Linked DNA regions of Canis lupus familiaris. The protein of the gene in region 4 interacts with the protein of the main gene of each other region in a biochemical or structural test. Links are inferred from orthologs where the notes say so. Each region holds a gene or a part of one and is shown on either strand. Other genes may lie near its edges.

Region 1 (5,054 bases), on a different chromosome or scaffold from region 4:
GCTATGTACACCAGACAACGAATCAGCCACACCTTTGTACCCAGCTGGCTTGTGTGAATAGCCCTCTTTTAGCTAACAAGGAAATGTTTACATCAAATTGCTAAATCGCTAATGGTTCTCCCAAGTCACTAAAATCTTAGACATCAGATGCATTAACCAATTTCCAGAACTTGAACTTTCTTTGCCTGGGAGCATCTCAGACACAGAGACTGGGGAACCAGTATTAGCAGCACCATCTTTCTCTGGCAGCTTTGTGAGCTTGGCCTGCAGCAGCGAGGAGTGAGCCTCAGTGAGTAGAATTTAGATTCATTAATGAAGTCAATGATTCTATGAACAACCTCACTTTTTAAAGAAATTTAATTCCTATACCTTAAAGGGGTGTATTCACTGAAACACTGGACAGAAAACTAGCCAAGTGCTTTCCCCCATTGTTCCTGTCATCACTGACAAAGTAAGCAAAGTCTTCCCCAAATCACCCCCTACTCTGGTGCTTTTGGGGAAAATGTAATCCAAGGAGCCAGGCACACAAGCTTGGCACATTACAACTGACTTTTGTGGGTTGTTTACTACACGGCAAAACAGGTACAACTGGCAGCCAAGACAATAAAGGCCTCTGCTTCAGGGTTGTGTTTTGTTTTGTTTTTCCATATTCCTTTAGTTACAGCAGCTTCAGTTTGGGAAGCTCAGAGGCACGTGTCATTCCTTACAATATCACAAAAATCCAACCTGCTACTTAAAAACCTGTTCAGAACACACAAGTCTAATTAAGTCTTCCAAAACCAAACGAAAAGGAAAAAAGAGCCAGATTTGGGGAGTTTAGGACAGAATTCCCTCTTCTTTAAGGTCCATTTGCTCTGTTCTTCAAAGGAAAAACAAAACGGCGACTGAACCATTGCTTTGTGGAACAGCAACGTGCAATGTCTCACCATGGCCTCAAGCTCCATCTGATGAACATGACAGAAATCAGTCACAAGTACAAACAGGGCAGTGACGAGAAGACCGACCCTTTCCTCATCAACTTCTCTCCACTTGTGTGCTTCCACCAGTATATCCAGTTTATGATCCAAAAGAACTCTAATATCTGCTACTCTTTGACAATACGACTATGATACAAATGCCGAGGCAGCCACTGTGCATTCCAAATGTGTATGAGAGACCGCCACTCTGCAGAAAGCTGGACATCGGCAATGCAGTGTAACTTGCCTATGAGAGAGAATGCTTTCCCACTTCAAAGGAGACTATGACAGGCAGAACAAGGAAGCAGCAGGAAACAGGCAACAGCAATCACTCGTTTTCATCAGGGTTTTGAGGGTCAATGATTTTGACATGCGTAAAGGGGAAAAGCCCTTTGCGCCCATTCACTTCGCCTTCCCATTGGCCATTTATATTCATCCTTGTGACTTTCACAATGTCACCAACCTGTAAGGATGGAGAAAGAAGACACAGTCAGCATTTTCTCTGCAAACTAAAAAAAAAAAAAAAAAAAAAGTTTAACCCATATATACTGTTCTATCCAAAGGAACCTATAGAATTTTTAAAGTTTTTTTTTTTGGGGGGGTGCATAAACCTAAAATCAAGCAGTGCCAAAGACACAATGTGGGGGGACCTGGGTGGTCAGTGGTTGAGAATCTGCCATCAGCTCAGACTGTGATCCTGGGGTCCTGGGATCGAGTTCGGCATCAGGCTCCCCAGAGGGAGCCTGCTTCTCCCTCTGCTTCTGTCTCTGCCTCTTTCTCTCTGTGTCTCTGATGAATAAATAAAAATCTTAAACAAAAACAAAAACAAAGACACAAGGTGCTACCATAAGCGTGCTGTCCTCCTCAGCTGGTGAGAATGTGTATTAAGTGAAGGACCTTCTAAAAAAAAAAAAAAAAAAAAAAAAAAAAGAAAAAAAAAAAAAAAAAAAAGTGAAGGACCTTCTGAGCATAAAAGCAACTTTTCTCCCTATGTCAGTTATTAACTCCCAACAGGAAAGAAATGAACACTTAACTACTCTCAGGATGGTTGAAGTGAAATCACACACAAAAAAAGGGTATTAAAAAAAAAATCTATCTCCACCCTAATATACATGGGGTGGAAATGCTGTCACCAACAAGACCTCAGTTACCAAGCCACCCCCCCCTCTCCTGCCCCAGGCAGCAATAATGTCTCCCTGATTTGTCCATTGCCTGCTCCTCTGTGGGGCCATCACAGGGAAAGGAAGCCCAACTCTGGGCATCTATCTTTTTCAGCCTACTTTAAACTTCAGGGTGGGGGGAATTCTATCTATTGTGAGAGGACAGGCACCAGTTAGGGACTGCCCCACTCATTAAGGAGAAGGCAGGAATTTTGTTTTGGAAGTGGTTTTCAAATTGTTCTGGAGACCCACAGAACTCTAGGGAGGTATTTTAAGGGCCCAACAAGTGTCTGGGCTTTCAACTTTTTAAACCTTTATTTATAAAGTTATAATAGAAAAAAGTATACTGAAATGCACCACTGCTAAACTAACCTGTGCTGCCTGCTACCTGCTTTTCATGCAGATCTCTCTTGGAATTAAACTGCTTTCATCATGTATTTGAAGACTCCCCCCAAATGACAAGGTAAAGGTTAAAAGATTCCTATCACTGCTCCAACAACACACATTCAGAAATAACCTGGGTGCTGAAGTGGATATCAGACTGCATCTATCATTCATATTATTTCCAATTTTTCCTGCCCATTTTAACAGTTAACTGTCCTGACTTTTTATTTTTTTTTATTTTTAATTTTTATTTATTTATGATAGTCACAAGAGAGAGAGAGAGAGGCAGAGACACAGGCAGAGGGAGAAGCAGGCTCCATGCACCGGGAGCCCGACGTGGGGTTCGATCCCGGGTCTCCAGGATCGCGCCCTGGGCCAAAGGCAGGCGCCAAACCGCTGCGCCACCCAGGGATCCCCCTGTCCTGGCTTTTTAGCAAATTCTTAGAAATCTCAACTTTAAATTTTTTTTTTAACTTTGAAAATTTCATTGGGAAAAAAGGGTCTTCTGCTAAAACTATGGTCCAGCAAGCTTGACTACTAGCCTGGATTCCAGAGGGGACAATGCAGCTTTAGAAGTCCACCGGCACACAGCTCTGCTGGCACACTTCATGTGAATTGTGCCAGAATGGCTTTGCTGCCATTCGTGTGAAGGCCGACCTCCTTCCTCCTGCCCCATCCCTGCTCCAACCCCCTGAAGCTCAGAGGTGTTGGGCCCAGCCCCATCGCCTCTCTTGGTTACCAGGGAGGTCAATGCCCTCTGAGGAAAAGGAGGTATGTTTTCTGAGGCAAATATGAAAGTCATTTGGATTAGTTTATGAGATGGCTAAGACTCAAGCAGAAACACTAAAATCCAGTAATGTGGTTGTTTAAACATAGGTATCTATAAAACAGAACAAAACAAGAAACAAAAAGCTAAAACAAAAGGGATGCCTGGGTGGCTCAGCTGTTTGGGGGTCTGACTCTTGGTTTCAGCTCAGGTCATGAACCCAGGGTCCTGGGATCGAGCCCTGCATTGGGCTCCCTGCTTGTGGGGTGTCTGCTTCTCCCTCTCCCTCTGCTAGTGCACGCTCTCTCTCTCTCAAATAAACGAATGTCTTGGGATCCCTGGGTGGCGCAGTGGTTTGGCGCCTGCCTTTGGCCCAGGGCACGATCCTGGAGACCTGGGATCGAGTCCCACATCGGGCTCCCAGTGCATGGAGCCTGCTTCTCCCTCTGCCTATGTCTCTGCCTCTCTCTCTGTGACTATCATAAATAAATAAAAATTAAAAAAATAATAAATGAATGTCTTTAAAATAAACAAATCCTCAAAAACCAAACCAAACCAAAAAAAAAAAAAAAAAGGTAAGGTGCATAAAATGAGGAAAACTTCAATTAACAGAGACCTAAACTCTAGACTCCAACACCTATTTAGACCATGGTCCAAACAGAAGATCAGCCCTTTCTTTTTAAGATTTTATTTATCCATTGGCCGGGGTGGGGGTGGGGGTGGGGGCACCAGCGACAGTGAGCAGTGAGGGAAAGGGAGAGAAAATGAAGCTGACTGAGCACAGAGCCTGACATGGGGCTTGATCTCCCAACTCTAAGATCATGACCTCAGCTGAAACCAAGAGTTGAACGCTTAACCAACTGCACCACCCAGGCAACCCAAGATCAGCCATTTCTAAGACAGCATCAAGAAATTTATAGGGGGGGTTTACAGACATGTTGCCCCAAGATTTTATTTATGAGATAGAGAGCACACGAGCAGAGTGAGAGGCAGGAGAAAAGACTCCCCGCTGGGCAGAGAGCTTGATGTGGGGCCTGATCCCAGGACTCCAGGATCATGACGAGAGGTGGAGGCAGATGCCCAACCCACTGAACCATCCAGGCACCCCCAGGCCTGTTTTGCTTTGTTTTGTTTTTTCAATTCAATGGACACCATGAGTCAGGGACCCTTTTTCACAGAGGTTTTTACTTGCAGAGCTTCTTCAGAGTTGTTATTATTACTCTTGATCCCCAATGTACACTAACGTTCTATAAGGCAAGGCAGGCTGACACAACAGATCTAAGAGTCTGAACCTCTCCATCATCACAAAGTGCTGGTTTATCACAAAGCAGAGGTAAAAACCAAGGAGCATCCAGTGCTGGTCATCTGTGTTCTTGCCACCTTGCAGAGTGTAAAGGCAGCATGGCCTACCTGTGCCTAGGACCACTCAACCTTCCACTTTCAGCCTCTTCTCACCGAGACACTCACTGCGTTTAATGGTCTATCTTCACAACTTCCCCTCGTGATCGCAGACTGACTGCTCTGAATTTTCTACCTCTCTGCTCTCCATTTTTTATTCTACCATTTTACTTGTGATTCTCCAAATATACTGAGAAAAATGCAGTCACTATATTTAGGTGGAAAATAGCACTATTAACAAATGAAACCTCTCACACCTTGTGGAAACCAGCTTGAACACTTGACAAATGAAAATGGGTAAAAAGAACTTTAAAACCATGAGGCGGGATCCCTGGGTGGTGCAGCGGTTTGGAGCCTGCCTTTGGCCCAGGGTGCGATCCTGGAGACCCG
Region 2 (5,054 bases), on a different chromosome or scaffold from region 4:
CACACCATTGATATTTTGTCCCCATTTTACAGATGAGAAAACCGAGGCTCATAAACAACTTTTTTATCTATGTGCATATATATATGTATACACACACATATATATATAATTATATATATATACACACACATATACATATATAATTATATATATATGGATCAGAGAGACTGCAGTGCAGGAGTCACCAGGATTTGTTACTAATTTGCCATTGGTTATAAGGAACAGGAGGAATTAAGTGTGATCCAAAGTCTTCTTGAGGAACTAAGTGGGTGATGGTGCCATTTGCTAACGTGGGGAACACAGGAGCAGGTATAGATACCTGGGTTCTGGTGGGGGACTTGCTGAGTTGAGGTCTGTAGAGAAGAACACCCAGGTGAAGGACACTGCCAGGAATTGGATTAGGCTGTGCTTCGTATGAGAGGGCCAGGCTGCTGACTTAGCCCAGAGGAGAGGGCATCTTTTCCTACTTGGCACTAAGGCTCTTTGTTTGCTGTAGCTCTTGCAGAGGGCACAACTGGGCTGGTGTAGAAATCTGGGAGTCTCCAGGATGGAGGTGACAATTAAAGCTGCACAGGAGGGTGAAGGAAGAGGAGAAGAGTGAGAAAGAAATTGGCCCTAGGACTCAACTTTGGAGAAAGCTGCCTTGAAAGAGAAGTTGCCGTTAGGAAACCAGGCCAAGCCAAGTCAGAACAGCCAAGAGGGTGGAGGAGAGGTTTCAGGAAACAAGAAAGGGAGTGTCAGAGGCTGCCACTGGATTTGGCAATGGGGTGACCTTGGTGAGAGATGTCTCTGTGTGAAGTGGGGGTGGAGGCCAGACAGCAGAGCCTGGGAGGGAGTAGGAGGTGAGGAAGTGAAGACCCAAGTGTGAAGTGCTTTTTCAAGTGAAGAGAAGGTGAGAGATATAACAGAATGTTGATGGCAAGTTAGGGCTTAGAACAGTTTTTTTGGGGGGAAGGAAGAAATGTGGGCATATGTAGAGGTTGGTGGGATGGAGAGGCTGCAGGTGGGGGCTGGTTTGTAGGGGAGAGGTGTCCCTGAGCGAAGGGAAGTGGTTGGGGTCCTGAGCTCAGAGGAGGTGAGGCCTTCATCCAGAGAAAGTGGTAGGAGTCATGGAAAAGAGAAGGGTGATGATGCAGAAGGTGGGAGGTGTGGGAGGTTCATGCTTGTGTCCGCATCTTAGAAGCAGTGTCACGAAGCTCTGAGAGACACTCATTGCAGTGCCATGGTTAAGAGCAGCGTTGTGGTTAAGACTGCAGGCCATTGAGCGACAACTGGTGTTCCTATTCTGGCCAACACAGCTTAAGAGCGTGTGGCCTTGGGCAAGTTGCTTAACCACTAGGTATCTCAATTTCCTCATCTGTCTAATGGAGGTTAATAATAGGACCTACCTCACAACGTTGTTATAAGAACTAAATGAATATAAGGTGTTTTAAAGCAGAGCATGAAAAAAAAAAATAAAGCAGAGCATGACATAAAATAAGTACTGTTATTATTAAATTAATTATTAAGGAGGTAACTACTCCCATGGGTATGGGTGGGGGCACGGCTTTGAAAAAACTTGCGAATGTGTCCTGTCTACATAGGCCTTCTACAGTTCCTCTTTCCCCATCCTGCCTGCCCACCTGGACACTCTACTTGCCAGTACCTTCCTGTCCCCCAAATTATGCCCAGTACCCAGGTGTAAACTGGTTTATTTATTTATTTATTTTAAATATTTTATTTAGTTATTTGAGAGAGAGAGAGTGCACACATGCACACACATGCATGCACACACACACACACACATAAGAGCTAGTGAGGAGGGGGTCGGGTAGCTAGTGGTGAGAAGCAGAGTGAGAGAGGGAGAAACAGACTCCTCACTGAGCAGGAAGTGACACAGGGTTCAAGCTGAGGACCTTCCAGATCATGACCTGAGCTGAAGGCAGCCAGGCGCCCCAGATTGGCCAATTTTGTAATCAAAGGACATCTGAGTCTTCTATGGCACTTGTGGGGCCACTCTGGTTCTCCCAGTGTATTTTCACAGTTGATTTAAGGCTACAGTTCAGTCTTAGGAAAAATATCCAAGACAAAGAAGGAATGCCTGACATCTGAGGTTGAAATCTAGCTTTATAAGAATATCCAAGTTAAAGAGAGTGGAGGAAAACCAGCAGTCAGAGCCAGGCAGGAGCAGTCATGAAGAGGGGAAGAGAAGCAGGAAAGGCTGTTGTTTGGAAGTCATAGGAGGAAAGGATTTGGGGGTAGGGATGGATGGGGAGAAGATTGCCTAGGTGGTGGGAAAAGAACTAGGCTGGGAAGTAAAGCATTTCACGTAGACCTCATCAACCAGTCCTGAGGGAAGGTCACTTCTCCTCTCTGAGCCTCAAGTTCCACATCTGCAAAATGAGCCCTTGGAGGAGTGGTAGTGAGATGCATTCAGAAACTGGTAGCACCCTGATGAGGTCACTAGTGACTGGGGTCCTAGTGATTTTAGTTGAAGGGAAACCCAGAGAGTGGAGAGAAGTCTAACCTTTACTGGGTGGCTACCACAAGCCAAGCATTCCACATTCCTGGTCTCTGTGCACCTCACGGGCCGGGCTGTGAAGCAGGTGTATGAGCCCCATTTCAAGAGTGAGGAAATTGAATCTTGGCTAGTGAGGTGGTTTTTCCCCAGGAGGCTGAGTTGTGGGTTGAACTGGGTGTATCTGGGTGTATCTGACTCTTGCTGGCCCTTCCCAACAGGTGGTACTTTGGAAAGATCGGGAGGAAGGATGCTGAGAGGCAGCTGCTCTCCCCTGGGAACCCCCGGGGGGCCTTTCTTATTCGTGAGAGTGAGACTACCAAAGGTGGGGGCCTGGGAAGGGGCAAATGGGAAGCTCAGCTGTTAGGGTGGGGCTAGGAACAGTGGTGAGGGGCTTGGGTCATGGGGGAGTGGGCAGATGGGACAGGGGTGGAGGTTCAGAGATTTGACTAGGACCGAGTTCAAGGGATGTGGCCATCCAAGTTCTGAGTCCCCAGGCATTTGGGTGTCTCAGGCTCCAAAATGATGAGCGAGGAGGAAAGCAGACTCGAAAACAACCCTTGCCCACAGGTGCCTACTCCCTGTCCATCCGGGATTGGGACCAGACCAGAGGCGACCATGTGAAGCATTACAAAATTCGCAAACTGGACACGGGCGGCTACTACATCACCACACGGGCCCAGTTCCACTCGGTGCAGGAGCTGGTACAGCATTACATGGGTGAGGGCTGGCTTCCAGGGCTGGTGTGTGCTTTGGGTCCCTGAACTAACCCACTAAGAATTAGGGCCAGAGAAGGAAAGGGGTTCCCAAAGCAGTAGTGGCTGGAGCAAAACTGGAAACCAAGGGTTTGGGTTCCCAGCCCAGGATCCTGCTCTGTAGGATTCCAGAGGGAACAGGTGTGAGACTGTCCACGTCAGAAGGGCGCCCCCTAATGTCTAGCTGGGCAGGAAGCCAAATAGACCTGACTTGGAGGATGGGCTGTAGGGTTGAGAGGAAGCTGGGAATCAATGCCCAGGTTTCTGCTTTAGTTATACCAAAGGTGAGGTGCAGGGAAGGGCGAGGGCCTCATGTCCACACCACTGTCTCGAATCCCCAACTCATTTCTACCTGTCAGAATCCCACCTTAACCCTGAAGGCCCAGCTGGAGGCCACCTCCTATGGAGAGGACTCCAAACCCTGCAGGGGATCATCCTTCCTTCCCTGGGCACCAACATGTTCACCTACTCAGTGGGTCAGGTTGCCTTTGGCCCCGGCGTGTGACCTCCCCTGTGGCCTAGTTCCTTTCCACTGATGGGGGAGGGGAGCAGGGGAAGGGCTGCGCCTGGGACAGGATGAGGAATGGGTGGGGCGTCCTGGCCTGCCCACTACCTGCAACAGCCCCCCACCCCCCACCCCCGCCAGAGGTGAACGACGGGCTCTGCCACCTGCTCTCGGTGGCCTGCACCACCATGAAGCCGCAGACAATGGGCCTGGCCAAGGATGCTTGGGAGATTAGCCGCAGCTCCATCGCGCTCGAGCGCCGGCTGGGCACCGGCTGCTTCGGGGACGTGTGGCTGGGTACGGAGGTCCCGGGGGCGGGGCGCGGGCTTGGGACAACCGGGAGCCGGTGCTGACGAACCACGACCACCTGGCAGGCATGTGGAACGGCAGCACGAAGGTGGCGGTGAAGACGCTGAAGCCGGGAACCATGTCCCCGAAGGCCTTCCTGGCGGAGGCGCAGATCATGAAGCTGCTGCGGCACGACAAGCTGGTGCAGCTGTACGCCGTGGTGTCGGAGGAGCCCATCTACATCGTGACCGAGTTCATGTGCCACGGTGAGGGGCGGGGTCAGGAGGCGGAGTCCGGGGGTGTTCAGAGAGGTGTCTCTGGGGGAGGGACCCGAGTGGCGATCTGTGATGGGACAGGGGACTTTGGGCAGAGTCCGAGAGTGAGGCCGGGGTGAGGGAAACCACGTGAGTCCTGAGAGTGGAGGCGGGCCCATATTTAGACCGGGCTAGGGGCCGGGGCTGGGGGCGGAGCCTCGGTCGCTGGGGGCGGGGTGGTCAGTTGGTGGGTGGGGTTTGGGGGAGCGGAGACCGAATCTGGGATGAGGGAGGATCTGGGGCGGAGTCTGAGTGGGGCGTGTCTAGGGGGACGGAGGCAGGGAAGAAACGAGCTGTGGGCTGAGTCTGGGTGTCTGTGGGAGCGGGTCCTGGGCGAGATCTGTGAGGGTCTGAGGCAGCTGGCTGGATCCCGAGTGGGGGCGGGTCTAAGGGAGAGGGCTGGGGCCAGGGGGCGGGGCCAAGCTGGGTGAGAAGGAACCTGGCTGGGGGCGGGGCCAAGCGAGGGAAGGCTGGCTTGGAGCTGGGGGTAGTCTTGCCGCTGATTTTCTGAGTTCCTTTCCTCAGGTAGCTTGCTGGAGTTCCTCAAGGACCGGAAAGGCCAGGATTTGACACTGCCCCAGTTGGTGGATATGGCAGCCCAGGTAAACTGGGACAGCAGCCTTTATCTCAGACTGCCCTCCTATTAACCTCCGGAAACCCCTGTGCCCTTAAACACTTGCCCCTGGAAGTACAGT
Region 3 (5,054 bases), on a different chromosome or scaffold from region 4:
AATAGTACTTATTTAGCGATTAAATTTTATCTAGGTAATGGGTGTCTCAAGAAAAAAGTCCTATTTGGGAAAAGTCCTAAGTGTGAATTAGAAGCAGAATATTAACTCTGATGCCTCAAATTTTCATGAGGACCAACTCCGAAGTCATGTACAGCAACATCATGATAAACTGTCTACGAATCCAGTGCTCACTCATCAATGAGAACAAGCAAATTTATAAATGCTAAGGAGAAGGCTTGGAGAAAAGGATTCCTCATAGCTTGGAGCCTAGGGGGGCTAAAAATGTTAAAACAATAGAAACTTGTTGAAATGGACTAACAGTAGTCGAAGACAAAAGGTTTGGGGGATTGGCCCAAAATACAACTGATGAGTGCAAGGCCTTTTTCTAAAAAGAGTGTTAAGAAAAAGACTTTTACTGAATTACATTTGGTGTGCACAGAAGTTAGATGTGTCCGCTCAATGAATCTATTTCAACACAGACACTGCAAAGAGAAAATGACACTCCTACCTTCTACTGCCCTGCATTTAGCATCTGACTACTAGAATTTTGATTAAGTAGCTTCTGCTGGCAAAATTGTATATTTTACTCTCTCATTCCCAAAAGTTTGTTCTCTGTTGGTGATATCAGTTTTGGCACCCAGCCAACATGTGTATTTGATACACCTCTAATCATATCTCCGGATGTTTCTAGAATGTCTCTGTCCAATTCACCAGAAATTGATAACAATGATTCCAATGGGGACAAGGAGAAGGACAGTTGGCTGGAGATGAGGAACAAAAGGCACACCACTTCCACCTATACTTCTTTGTATCTTTTGAATTTAGAACCATGTGGCTGTACTCTTACTTAATGATAAACAAAACAGGGAAAACTTCTTACTTAAGAGATAATAGTATGAGTATAATATTTTTAATTCTGAGCAATGAATATGAGAATATAACAAAAATTCCTGAAAGTCAATGCCTTTGAGGAGCATGAGGCCAGGGAGGCAATTTTTCATTAGAAGTCTTTTTGTACCACCTGATTTTTTTGATACACCATATATCACTTAAACAACTGAAATATTTAATGAAGACATAATTTTTAAAAATGAGAAAAGAAATGGAAACTTCAGAAGCTTATCAAAAATAAATTTTTTAAAGATTTTATTTATTTAAAAATAAAATTAATATAACCTACCATTTCATTGCCCAAGGATAGTTAACATTTTGGTATATTTCATCTTTAGCTTTATATTTCTTTTAAAAAACATGTTTTCACTTTATATCTGACTTCCTTAGTTTTTCTTTGTTTTGTCTCCTCCTTTCTCTTATTCCCATTATTTTGCAAAGCTAGGTGTATAGTCTCTAAATTGCTTAAAAAAAAAAAAACCCAAAGCTTAATGTATCTAGCACTCTTCTGGGTAAAGAAAATATGCCCGGATAACTCAATTATCGGTGCGGTCTCTCCGACAAGCAGTTTCATAACCGTGATGGAAATGGTCCGTGTTGGCAACATTCACTGATTTCTGTGCTACCTGTGTGAATCAAGTCCTCTGATATTTACATCAATAAGATTGTTCAGTTCTGTTCACAACTCCTAAGCTAGAGGCTCTCATGATGTACAACTCTTGCGACTAGACTACCTCAACCATCCAGAGCTCCTGACAGTATCTTGTATCTCCTGTCCTTACAGGGGACAGGCTACCTGGGAAGTGGATCAGTCAGTACTGTTTGGTTGGTCGTACTGTATTTTTTAATTAATTAATTAATTAATTAATTAATTAATACCATTTTTCTACTGCTTTTTTAAAAGATTTTTTTTACCCTAAATATTTATTTTAAAATCCTGGACATTGAGCATAGCAGATGAAAACAAGGGTTTTGTGAGGCCTGGGGTTCAGAAGCAGCTCTGCCGGGAGCTAGTAATTCAGTTCCAGGCAAAAGGCTCCTTCTCTGAGCCTTATGGGCATTGTCTGTGTGTCATTATGGAGCCTGTCAAACATATCACATATCATTTTATGAAGTTAAATGTTTATTTGATCAGATATCAGATTATATGCATAATCTGAAGATACAGAATTTCTCTGTAAATAGATGTAGATTATAGATAAAGATACATAATGTCAGATATCAGGATTGATCAAGAAAATATTTCTTTTTCCTTGTTTTACAGTAATGTTTCTGTTCATTTCAGCATCTAGAGCAGAGTGGCAGTCAGAATATGAAATTTTGGCTCAAGGGGGATTTCATGGCACAGTCAGCCCACTGTGCGGCACCACCCGAAGGCTCTCCCCTCCCCGCTGGCCTCTGGGTCCCTGATTTCTCTATGGTTCATCCCTAGACAGCACTGAGGGAGATCAGGAGCACGAAGGCCACATTGCTGCTCTGTCCCCAAGTTTTTCTCATCCACAGCATGGTGTCTATCAAGATGTTAAATGGCTTAAACCCGTGATTCATTCATCTAGCAAATACCGACACCCAAACCACTGGGCCTCAGGATCCCATATGGTGACTGTCACCTCTGTGGGATGCTCAGCCCTCCTAGACAGCCCTGTGGCTCCCTCTTCCAATCTGCTGCTACAAAGGTCATAGTGTCAAACCAGCATCCATCCTCCTCCTCCTCCACGCTCATCTTTCAATCATAGTGCACCTGCTCCATCTGATAGTTGTTGTCTATCCGACTTTAACCAGTCTCTTCCTACTAGAATATTAGCTCTCAAAGGCAGGAGCTCTCACTGCTGCATCTGGGCATCTCGAGGCCAGCACTCTCAGGTATTTTTCAAATGAAGGAATGATTTAAACATTAAAGATTTAATCTTAAATTCATCATACCCATTGATTTTGTACAAAGCACTAATGTAAAAAGCCTAACAACTACTGTGAAGGCTTTGGGAGAAATGCTTCTTGCATATTTGGGCACAGATCCTGGGAAGAGGGGGTTTCTGGCACAGTCTGACTCCAAGTGCTTTGGGTGTTAGGACTCTAGAGACACTGAATGGATGTCTTTGCATTGGGGAAGTTATGGATTGGAATGACCTTTCACTAATAAACAGACGTGGTTATTTCCCGAAGAGGCAGAGGTTCCAAAATACTTTATACAAATCTCCACTTCAAAACTAACCAGAAAGCACTGTAAACTCTCATTTCTGTGTCTGTTTCCTCCTCTACCAGGTGTTCTGCTTAGGAGGAGCACCATGTCTCACCTTCTAATCCATTGTCCCATCTGCAATACCTGTGGGGGTGTTGGGCCCCTTCTCAGCACCAAGTGATGGAATCCATTGGTGGTGGGAGGCACGGGGAAGAATCCGCATTCAATCAAATAAGAAGGCAGAGAAATGTCTAAGCATTTTTAGAACAACTCCCACCGAAGACCGTCATCTAGAACAAAGTGCTTATTCTTAGCCTTTGGAGATGGGTTTATTTTTTATGCCTCCTGTAAAAGCCATGTGGCTTTTTTTTTTTTTTTTTTCTCATACAGACCACTGGAATGGAAACAAGTAAGTGAATGATACCTGGGTAAGGAATCTTCCCATAGGTGACGATTTCATACAGGAGAATGCCAAAGGACCACACATCAGACTTAATGGTGAAACATCCAAAGTTGATTGCTTCTGGAGCTGTCCACTTAATGGGGAATTTGGCACCTACAGGAGAACACATGTCTTACTTGGGCCTCTGAGATGAAACAAAAAGGTCATGGGCATGTGGCCTTCATACTTTCCTCTTTTGGGGAAAATTTTAATTATTTCCTTTGAGTAACTAATGCATACACATAGTGCAAAACAGAGACGGTACACATGTTATACTGAAAATAGGTGCCTCCCTCCCTGTTTCCCTTTTGGGCATTCCCCTTGCGAGTAGCCAAGTTTCTTTTCTTTTCTTTCTTTTTTTAATTAATTAATTCATTAATTAATTTGAGACAGAGAGATGGAGAGCATGAGTAGCAGGGGAGGAAGAGGAAGAAGCAGACTCCTCACTGACCAGGGAGCCCAATGCAGGGCTCCATCCCAGGACCTTGGGATCATGACCTGAGCTGAAGGCAGAAGCTTAACCAACTGGGCCACCCAGGTGCCCCAAGAAGCAAAGTTTCTTGTGTATCCATAACTAACTTACTTTAAACAAAAGAGCCTGACACAGAATGTAAAGGCATTTGTTTTTAGTTTATATATTTGTCCCTCAATAGCAGCCTCTAAAGCATAAATCTTCAGTGTTCAAATGTTCTCAATGAACCCATACTATGTTATATGGAATATAAATGTCTCTTGATGTGTATATTCTTGCGGACAAATCTCTGTGCGCCCATACCAATAGGGATTTTAGATACTACTCCAAATGTTAAGGTCTCCTGCTTTCATTTGCTCAGCTCAAACATTACTACGTCTAGGAACTGGGGAGCATAATGATCTGCCCAGAAAGAGATATTAATGACACTAGGATTCTTGTGGGGAGCTGGTGAGGCCTAACCTGGCTTGGGGGGTGGGAATCTTGTGGGGGTACCTTGAAGAGAGTAGGGACTCAGGCACAGAATGTTGTCCCTATATCCTGGAAAAGGTTAGGGGGTTCCACCAACCATTTTTAAAAACTTTAAACATGTCTGCTTTTATTAGGTCTTTGCTTTGGAATTTCTTGTGGTGTCAGACCCAAATTGGAAATCCAAACAAGATCAGTAAAGATAGCAGAAAGCCTCATAGAACAGTAGGTATGGTGCAGGGCATGCACTGTTGCACATTCTGGGGATTAAACCCTGCATGGCTGGGTAGCGGCAGGGGGCAGGGTAGGGCCAGGTGGCTCCAGTAGGGACCCCAGTTGTGTGTGGGGGTGGTTAGTCCCACACAGTGCACCCAGTTTGAATCCTGGTTCTAATGCTTCCAATGTGGCATGACCCTGGCAAGCCTTTGGGTTTTCTTGGCACCTTCTTCTATAAAATGAGGAAACAGAACCTCCATAAGGTTGGTGCCAGAGTTAACTGGGTTAAGCTGCATGCTTGGCATAGGGTAAATATCAATAAAAGGTAAATATTACTGTTGCTCTGAAATGGCTACTATTTAATTCTAGAATCTAAGCTCTCTGCA
Region 4 (5,496 bases):
GCCCCAGAGAGAGAGTGTGTAAGAGAAACTGAGATCAAGCCAGGCGTGGGTCCCACAGAGAGATCAAGAGGGGAAGAGGGACGCCAAAGGACAGAGACAGAGACAGTGTGAGAGAAAGACAGGGACCCAGGAACTAAGTGAGAAAGAAATACAAACTACATAAGAGCAGAAACACAGAGTCCGAGAGCTCAGACTGGAAAGCAGGGCAGGGAGGAGAGAGGCACAGACACAGAGACAGAGCAGCTCTCCCTCACCAGCAGTTGTTCGGTCTTACAAGGCCCTTCCCCATCACCTCCATTTACCCCACCCACTAGTCTAAGGGACCCAGAAATCAAGACAGTGATTAGAGACCAAGAGGCAGAGAATGGTTGAGAGAAAGAGATAAAGACTGGGCAAGAGGGAGACCCAGACAGGATGTGAGAGGAAAGGAAACTACTGTGGGAACGAAAGAGGACTGAACAGAGAGAGATGGCAGAGAGCGACAGTGTGGAAGATGGACAGAAGGTGACCGTGAGATGGCCAGCGGCACACAGCAATGGTCAGACTCGGGCAACAGGTGAGGAGAGGGACTGGCTGGAGCCAAGGAGGGGTTGTGGGAGGGACCCAGACGACCCCATTCAGCCAGTCAGACAGAGGGCAGATAGCTACTGGTTGTGGAGAGAAGCAGGCGAGGGGGCTTAGGAGACCCTCAGATCTTCGGTTCCCTGATGGGAAGTCAAGCTCAGAGTCCTGTGTGGGTAGATTCCACCGCAGAGGGCAGAGACCAGGATGCGTGGAGAACCCCCTGCACACCCTATCAGCACATAGGCTCTCACATACCCTGCAGGGTCAAGGGGCCCAGGAGGGCCAGGCCTCAGGCTGGGAGGGAGAGCGGGGTGGGGTTGTCCAGACCTCCTGCCAACAGTGCTGTCTCAGGGCAACCGGAGGCCAGGGTGCCAATGAGCTCCTCAGCCAAGGCCTTCCCTCTGTCTGGGGCTGAGAACAGCCCCTCTCCAGCAAGGGGCCCCTGGAACATGCTTTCCCCAACTCAAACAAACAACACAACAGGACAGCTTTGTTCTGGGGACATTCTGGCTTGGGGGCCCAGGGGTAGGTCCTCACAGAGGAGCCTCTAGCCTTAGGGCCCTGGCAGCAGCCCTATTTGGAACACCCTGCAGCCCCCCACCCGCCAAATATCTGCCTCCTCTCTCCACTCTACTGTGTCTCACGCTAACAATGCTAAAAGCCCTCTGTTGGTTGGTTTCCCTTCGACCCCATCCTGCATCACCCCTTTTCCGTGGTCCCTTCACCATCCTCGCCATCCGAAACTCCCCTTTCTGCCGCAGCAGCGTGACTCGCCCTACCTTTGGCTGAGCGGGGCCCTAGGTGCTGGGAGAAGAGTCCAGGTCCTGGAGATCAGTCCTAGGACTTCCCAAAAAAAGTGCTCGGCCAGGGGAGACTGGACCCCCCCTTCCTCCCCCCTCTCCTTTTGTCCCTCCCACGTCTCCTTGAGCCCTCCCACATTCCGCCTTCCTCCTCGATTCCTCCCCGGCCAGTTCCCTCCTCTTCTCCTTTTGGTCCTCCCCTCCCCCGTGGAGCTGGCCGCGGCCGCCCCACCTCCCCCCGCCCCCGCCCCCGCCCCTCCTCCCGGCCTGCTCAATGAAGCTTTCTTTTCCCGCGGGCTGGAGGCCGCGCGGCTGCGGTCACGGAGCTGGACACGCAAGAGGCCACGGGGCCGCGGACCGGCCCGGGCGGCGGCCCCTGGGGCGGCGGGAGGCCGCGGCTCAGCTCGGGGCTCCGGGAAGCCTTCCAGTCCCCAGTCCCCAGCCCTTCCCCCACGTCCCGGGCTCCGCGGAGTGTAAACAGCCGGACTCCAGCCGGGCTGGGGGCGGATCCGGTCAGGCGAACTGAGGCGAAGAAGGCCCGCCTCAGCCCTTCGGTGCCCCAGGGTGCCCACTGGCATTTTCGGGGTGACGTCACGGCCTTCACTCTGATGTCACGTTGAGCATATGACATCCTACCCGGCCCGTAAGCCCGGGCGCCAGAGCCCCGTGGCCGAAGCCTCGAGGCTTCCCTTGGCGGAGCACTTGTGCGGGCCTCGGGCCGGTGGGCCGGGGTCTGAAGGTGGCGCGCGGCCCACCCCGTCTACGGACCCCCGCGCCTTCCCTCAGGCTGCTCTGCTCGCTCCCGCTCGGCGGCCCGCGGAGGCCGGGGGAGGGGCGGAACGCCCCGGGAGGCCCGGCCCCGCCCCGCCCCGCCTCTAGCCCGCGGGGCCAGGAAGCGCGGAAGGAACCGCCGGGGGCCATGGACGGGGCCGTGATGGAAGGGCCGCTGTTTTTGCAAAGTCAGCGTTTCGGTACCAAGGTAGCCCGGGGCAGGGGTCGCCGCGCGCCTGCAGACCTAGGAGGGGGCTGTGGAGCCCGCGGGGGCGGCAGCGGGTTGGAGCGCGGGGCGGGAGCTGTAGACCCCGTGACGTTCCCGCGGAGTTGATTTCCCACCCGGGAGAAGCGTCCGCTGGCCTCGGGGTACCCCCCCACCCCCCGGTTCTGGGCGGACGGAGCGGCTTCCTTCTCGGGAAACTGCGCCCCGGTGGGGAAGCTGCAGACCTGCAGTCGGCCTGCGCGGGTCTCCTGTCCCGTCGGGGCCGGGCCGCCGGTGCTCGCCCGCTCCCTCGCCAGCGTCTCTCGCTCTCTCTTCCCAGAGGTGGAGGAAGACCTGGGCTGTGCTCTATCCTGCCAGTCCCCACGGCGTGGCGCGCCTCGAGTTTTTTGACCACAAGGGGTCGAACAATGGAGGGGGCCGAGGGGGCTCGCGCCGCCTGGACTGCAAGGTGATCCGCCTGGCGGAGTGTGTGAGCGTGGTCCCTGTGGCCGTGGACAGCCCCCCCGAGCCTGGCGCCGCGGCTTTCCGCCTGGACACCGCGCAGCGCTCCCACCTGCTGGCGGCCGACGCGCCGTCCAGCGCCGCCTGGGTGCAGACCCTGTGCCGAAACGCCTTTCCGGTGAGGGGGCTGGGGCGAAACGCCGTGGACCCAAGAGGCGACGGGGGTGGGGGCGGTTACAGGAGCCGAGGGCCGCGGCTGGCTCGGACCCCGGGAACAGCGGTGAGGGAATTGCAGGGATCTCGATACTCCCTCTCTTTACCCCAGAAAGGCAGCTGGGCTCTGGCGCCTGCGGAAAACCCACCCAAGCTTTCTGCCCTGGAGATGCTGGAGAACTCGCTGTATAGTCCCACCTGGGAAGGTAGATGCCTGAGAAGCCTGCGGAGGGATGGGGTGGAAAGGACGGGTGCCTTGAGAAGAGAGTGGTTAAAGGGTCAGGGACCCATGGGGAATAGGAAGCCCCTGAAGCTGGTTTCCAAGTGAGTGCTTGGACAACCCGTCCCCACCTCCCCAGCCCTCTCACCCAGCAGTCTGTTGGGTGCCCATCTAATTGTGTATTCTTTACAGGATCCCAGTTCTGGGTAACAGTGCAGAGGACAGAAGCCGCTGAGCGCTGTGGCCTGCATGGCTCCTATGTGCTGAGAGTGGAGGCTGAGAAGCTGACTCTCCTGACCGTCGGGGCGCAGACTCAGATACTGGAGCCACTCCTTTTCTGGCCTTACACTCTGTTGCGCCGCTATGGCCGGGACAAGGTGCAGGGGGCTGTCGGGGAGAATGGGCATCCCAGGTCGGGATAACTGTGGGATGGGTGGGTGGGGTGGGGCAGGACAAGAAGATGGCGAGTTCTGTCCTCCCGGTAACCCTTCCTTGCCTAGCCTGTGACCTCTGCCTGTGCGCCCCCCCCCCCCCCCCCCCCCCCCGCAAATAGTTTTTTCTTTGTAGATCCTCTGTAACTAGGACAAGCCCTGTGACTCATCTCCTCTCCTGGCTCCTGGTAATGTGTTTTCCTCCACACCTTCTTCAGGTCATGTTCTCTTTTGAGGCTGGTCGCCGCTGCCCTTCAGGCCCTGGAACCTTTACCTTCCAGACAGCACAGGGGAATGACATCTTTCAGGCAGTTGAGACTGCTATTCATCGGCAGAAGGTCCAGGGAAAGGAAGGTCAAGGGCAGGAGAGTCTGAAAGCCGACTCCCACGAAGGAGAAGTGGCAGAGGGGACGCTGGCATCCCCGCCTGGCCCTCAGGAGCTCCTGGGCAGCCCTCCTGCCCTGTATGCTGAACCCTTAGACTCTCTGCGCATTCCTCCAGGCCCTTCCCAGGATTCCCTGTACTCAGACCCCTTGGACAGTACTGCTGCTCAGGCAGGGGAGGGAGTACAGTTGAAGAAACCTCTTTATTGGGACTTGTACCAGCACGTGCAGCAGCAGTTGCTGAAGGCCAAGCTGACGGACCCCAAAGAGGACCCCATCTATGATGAACCTGAGGGCTTGGCCCCAGCTGCTCTCCGGGGCCTTTATGATCTGCCTCAGGAGCCCAAGGATGCATGGTGGTGCCAGGCTCGGGTGAAGGAGGAGGGTTATGAGCTCCCCTACAACCCTGCCACTGATGACTACGAGGTGCCACCTCCTCGGAGCACAAAGCCTCTCCCAGGTCCTAAGCCCCGGGGCTTAGCCCTCTCTGAACCTGGAGCTGCAATGGGCAATGGCAGCAAGGGCCACAGCGCAGACACTGCCTTGTACAGCCAGGTCCAGAAGAGCAGTGCCTCAGGAAGCTGGGACTGTGAGCTGTCTAGAGCAGGGGCTAACAGGACTGGAGTCCAGGCAGAAGGCTCCACGTGAGAGGTAGGGTGAGGCGGGGGTTGCTGATAGGACCCCCACAGGGAGGTGGTACTGGGGATCAAAGAAACGTATTAGAGCCTGCAGGAACCAGAGGGCTGGAGGGTCCCCTGTAAGCCAGCCCAGGGGACCAGAGGGATCAGGGGAGTCAGGGGAAGGATGATCAATCTCAAGAAGTCCTGGAAGTGGGACAGATGGCAGAGGTGAAGGATGGGGCCTGAGAGAGACCAGCACCCCCAAGTCATCCTCCCCAAAGGAATGGACAGCTGCTGGACCAGGTCTATGACAATGGGGGCTTTGTCTGGGTTGGTACAGTTTGAGGGGGCTGAATGGAGGCTACAGGGTGATGCTGGACTGTGCCTGGATCGTCACCCCTGTTTTGTTCTTTGCCAGAGACAGATTTTAAGAAGTTTATTCTCATTAAAGTCAGCTTGGGTTTAAAAGGTCTATGTGTGTGAATAGTCACAGATGGGACATGGTGGCAGGGTGTGCTGGGTTGGTGTGGAGGGGTCAGGAGAATGTACTGGGGGCCACATAAAGAGGAAGGAGTCTCAGGGAGGTGAGCTGAGCAGTGTGATTGTTGAGAGCCTCGGTGGTCCAGTGAGGCCCACTTGGGCTTGAGACTGTCTCTGTGATGCTGGGCGAGCTCTAAAACATCTGCAACTCTCATTTGCCCTCGGTGCCCCTCTGTAAAATAGGAAAAACCCAACAACAGACTCTACTTCACAGGGCTATTTGTATGAAAGGAGTTAAGTTTCTCAAGTACTTAATGCAGTCTGAAGCACAAGATTAAGCATTTTAT

The links. The genes of interacting proteins can lie anywhere in the genome.
Region 1: the proteins of DOK1 (region 4) and CRKL form a complex in vitro, tested with the Homo sapiens proteins (2 studies listed by BioGRID, with this or other methods). The link is inferred for Canis lupus familiaris from reciprocal best matches to the Homo sapiens genes DOK1 and CRKL.
Region 2: the proteins of DOK1 (region 4) and FGR form a complex in vitro, tested with the Homo sapiens proteins (2 studies listed by BioGRID, with this or other methods). The link is inferred for Canis lupus familiaris from reciprocal best matches to the Homo sapiens genes DOK1 and FGR.
Region 3: of the proteins of DOK1 (region 4) and LYN, one has a biochemical effect on the other in vitro, tested with the Homo sapiens proteins (2 studies listed by BioGRID, with this or other methods). The link is inferred for Canis lupus familiaris from reciprocal best matches to the Homo sapiens genes DOK1 and LYN.

The regions. Positions count from the first base shown.
Region 1 is NC_049247.1:30,711,150-30,716,203, forward strand, and holds part of CRKL (crk-like protein), read right to left. Parts: intron 1,420-5,054; coding exon 1,285-1,419; 3' UTR 1-1,284. UniProt on the Homo sapiens protein: May mediate the transduction of intracellular signals.
Region 2 is NC_049223.1:72,079,366-72,084,419, forward strand, and holds part of FGR (tyrosine-protein kinase Fgr), read left to right. Parts: intron 1-2,718; coding exon 2,719-2,822; intron 2,823-3,067; coding exon 3,068-3,217; intron 3,218-3,898; coding exon 3,899-4,054; intron 4,055-4,131; coding exon 4,132-4,311; intron 4,312-4,884; coding exon 4,885-4,961; intron 4,962-5,054. UniProt on the Homo sapiens protein: Non-receptor tyrosine-protein kinase that transmits signals from cell surface receptors devoid of kinase activity and contributes to the regulation of immune responses, including neutrophil, monocyte, macrophage and mast cell functions, cytoskeleton remodeling in response to extracellular stimuli, phagocytosis, cell adhesion and migration.
Region 3 is NC_049250.1:7,934,582-7,939,635, reverse strand, and holds part of LYN (tyrosine-protein kinase Lyn), read right to left. Parts: intron 3,627-5,054; coding exon 3,495-3,626; intron 1-3,494. UniProt on the Homo sapiens protein: Non-receptor tyrosine-protein kinase that transmits signals from cell surface receptors and plays an important role in the regulation of innate and adaptive immune responses, hematopoiesis, responses to growth factors and cytokines, integrin signaling, but also responses to DNA damage and genotoxic agents.
Region 4 is NC_049238.1:49,089,224-49,094,719, reverse strand, and holds DOK1 (docking protein 1), read left to right. Parts: upstream 1-2,182; 5' UTR 2,183-2,283; coding exon 2,284-2,343; intron 2,344-2,585; exon of another isoform or gene 2,586-2,680; coding exon 2,681-2,980; intron 2,981-3,127; coding exon 3,128-3,221; intron 3,222-3,427; coding exon 3,428-3,612; intron 3,613-3,884; coding exon 3,885-4,697; 3' UTR 4,698-5,141; downstream 5,142-5,496. UniProt on the Homo sapiens protein: DOK proteins are enzymatically inert adaptor or scaffolding proteins. They provide a docking platform for the assembly of multimolecular signaling complexes. DOK1 appears to be a negative regulator of the insulin signaling pathway.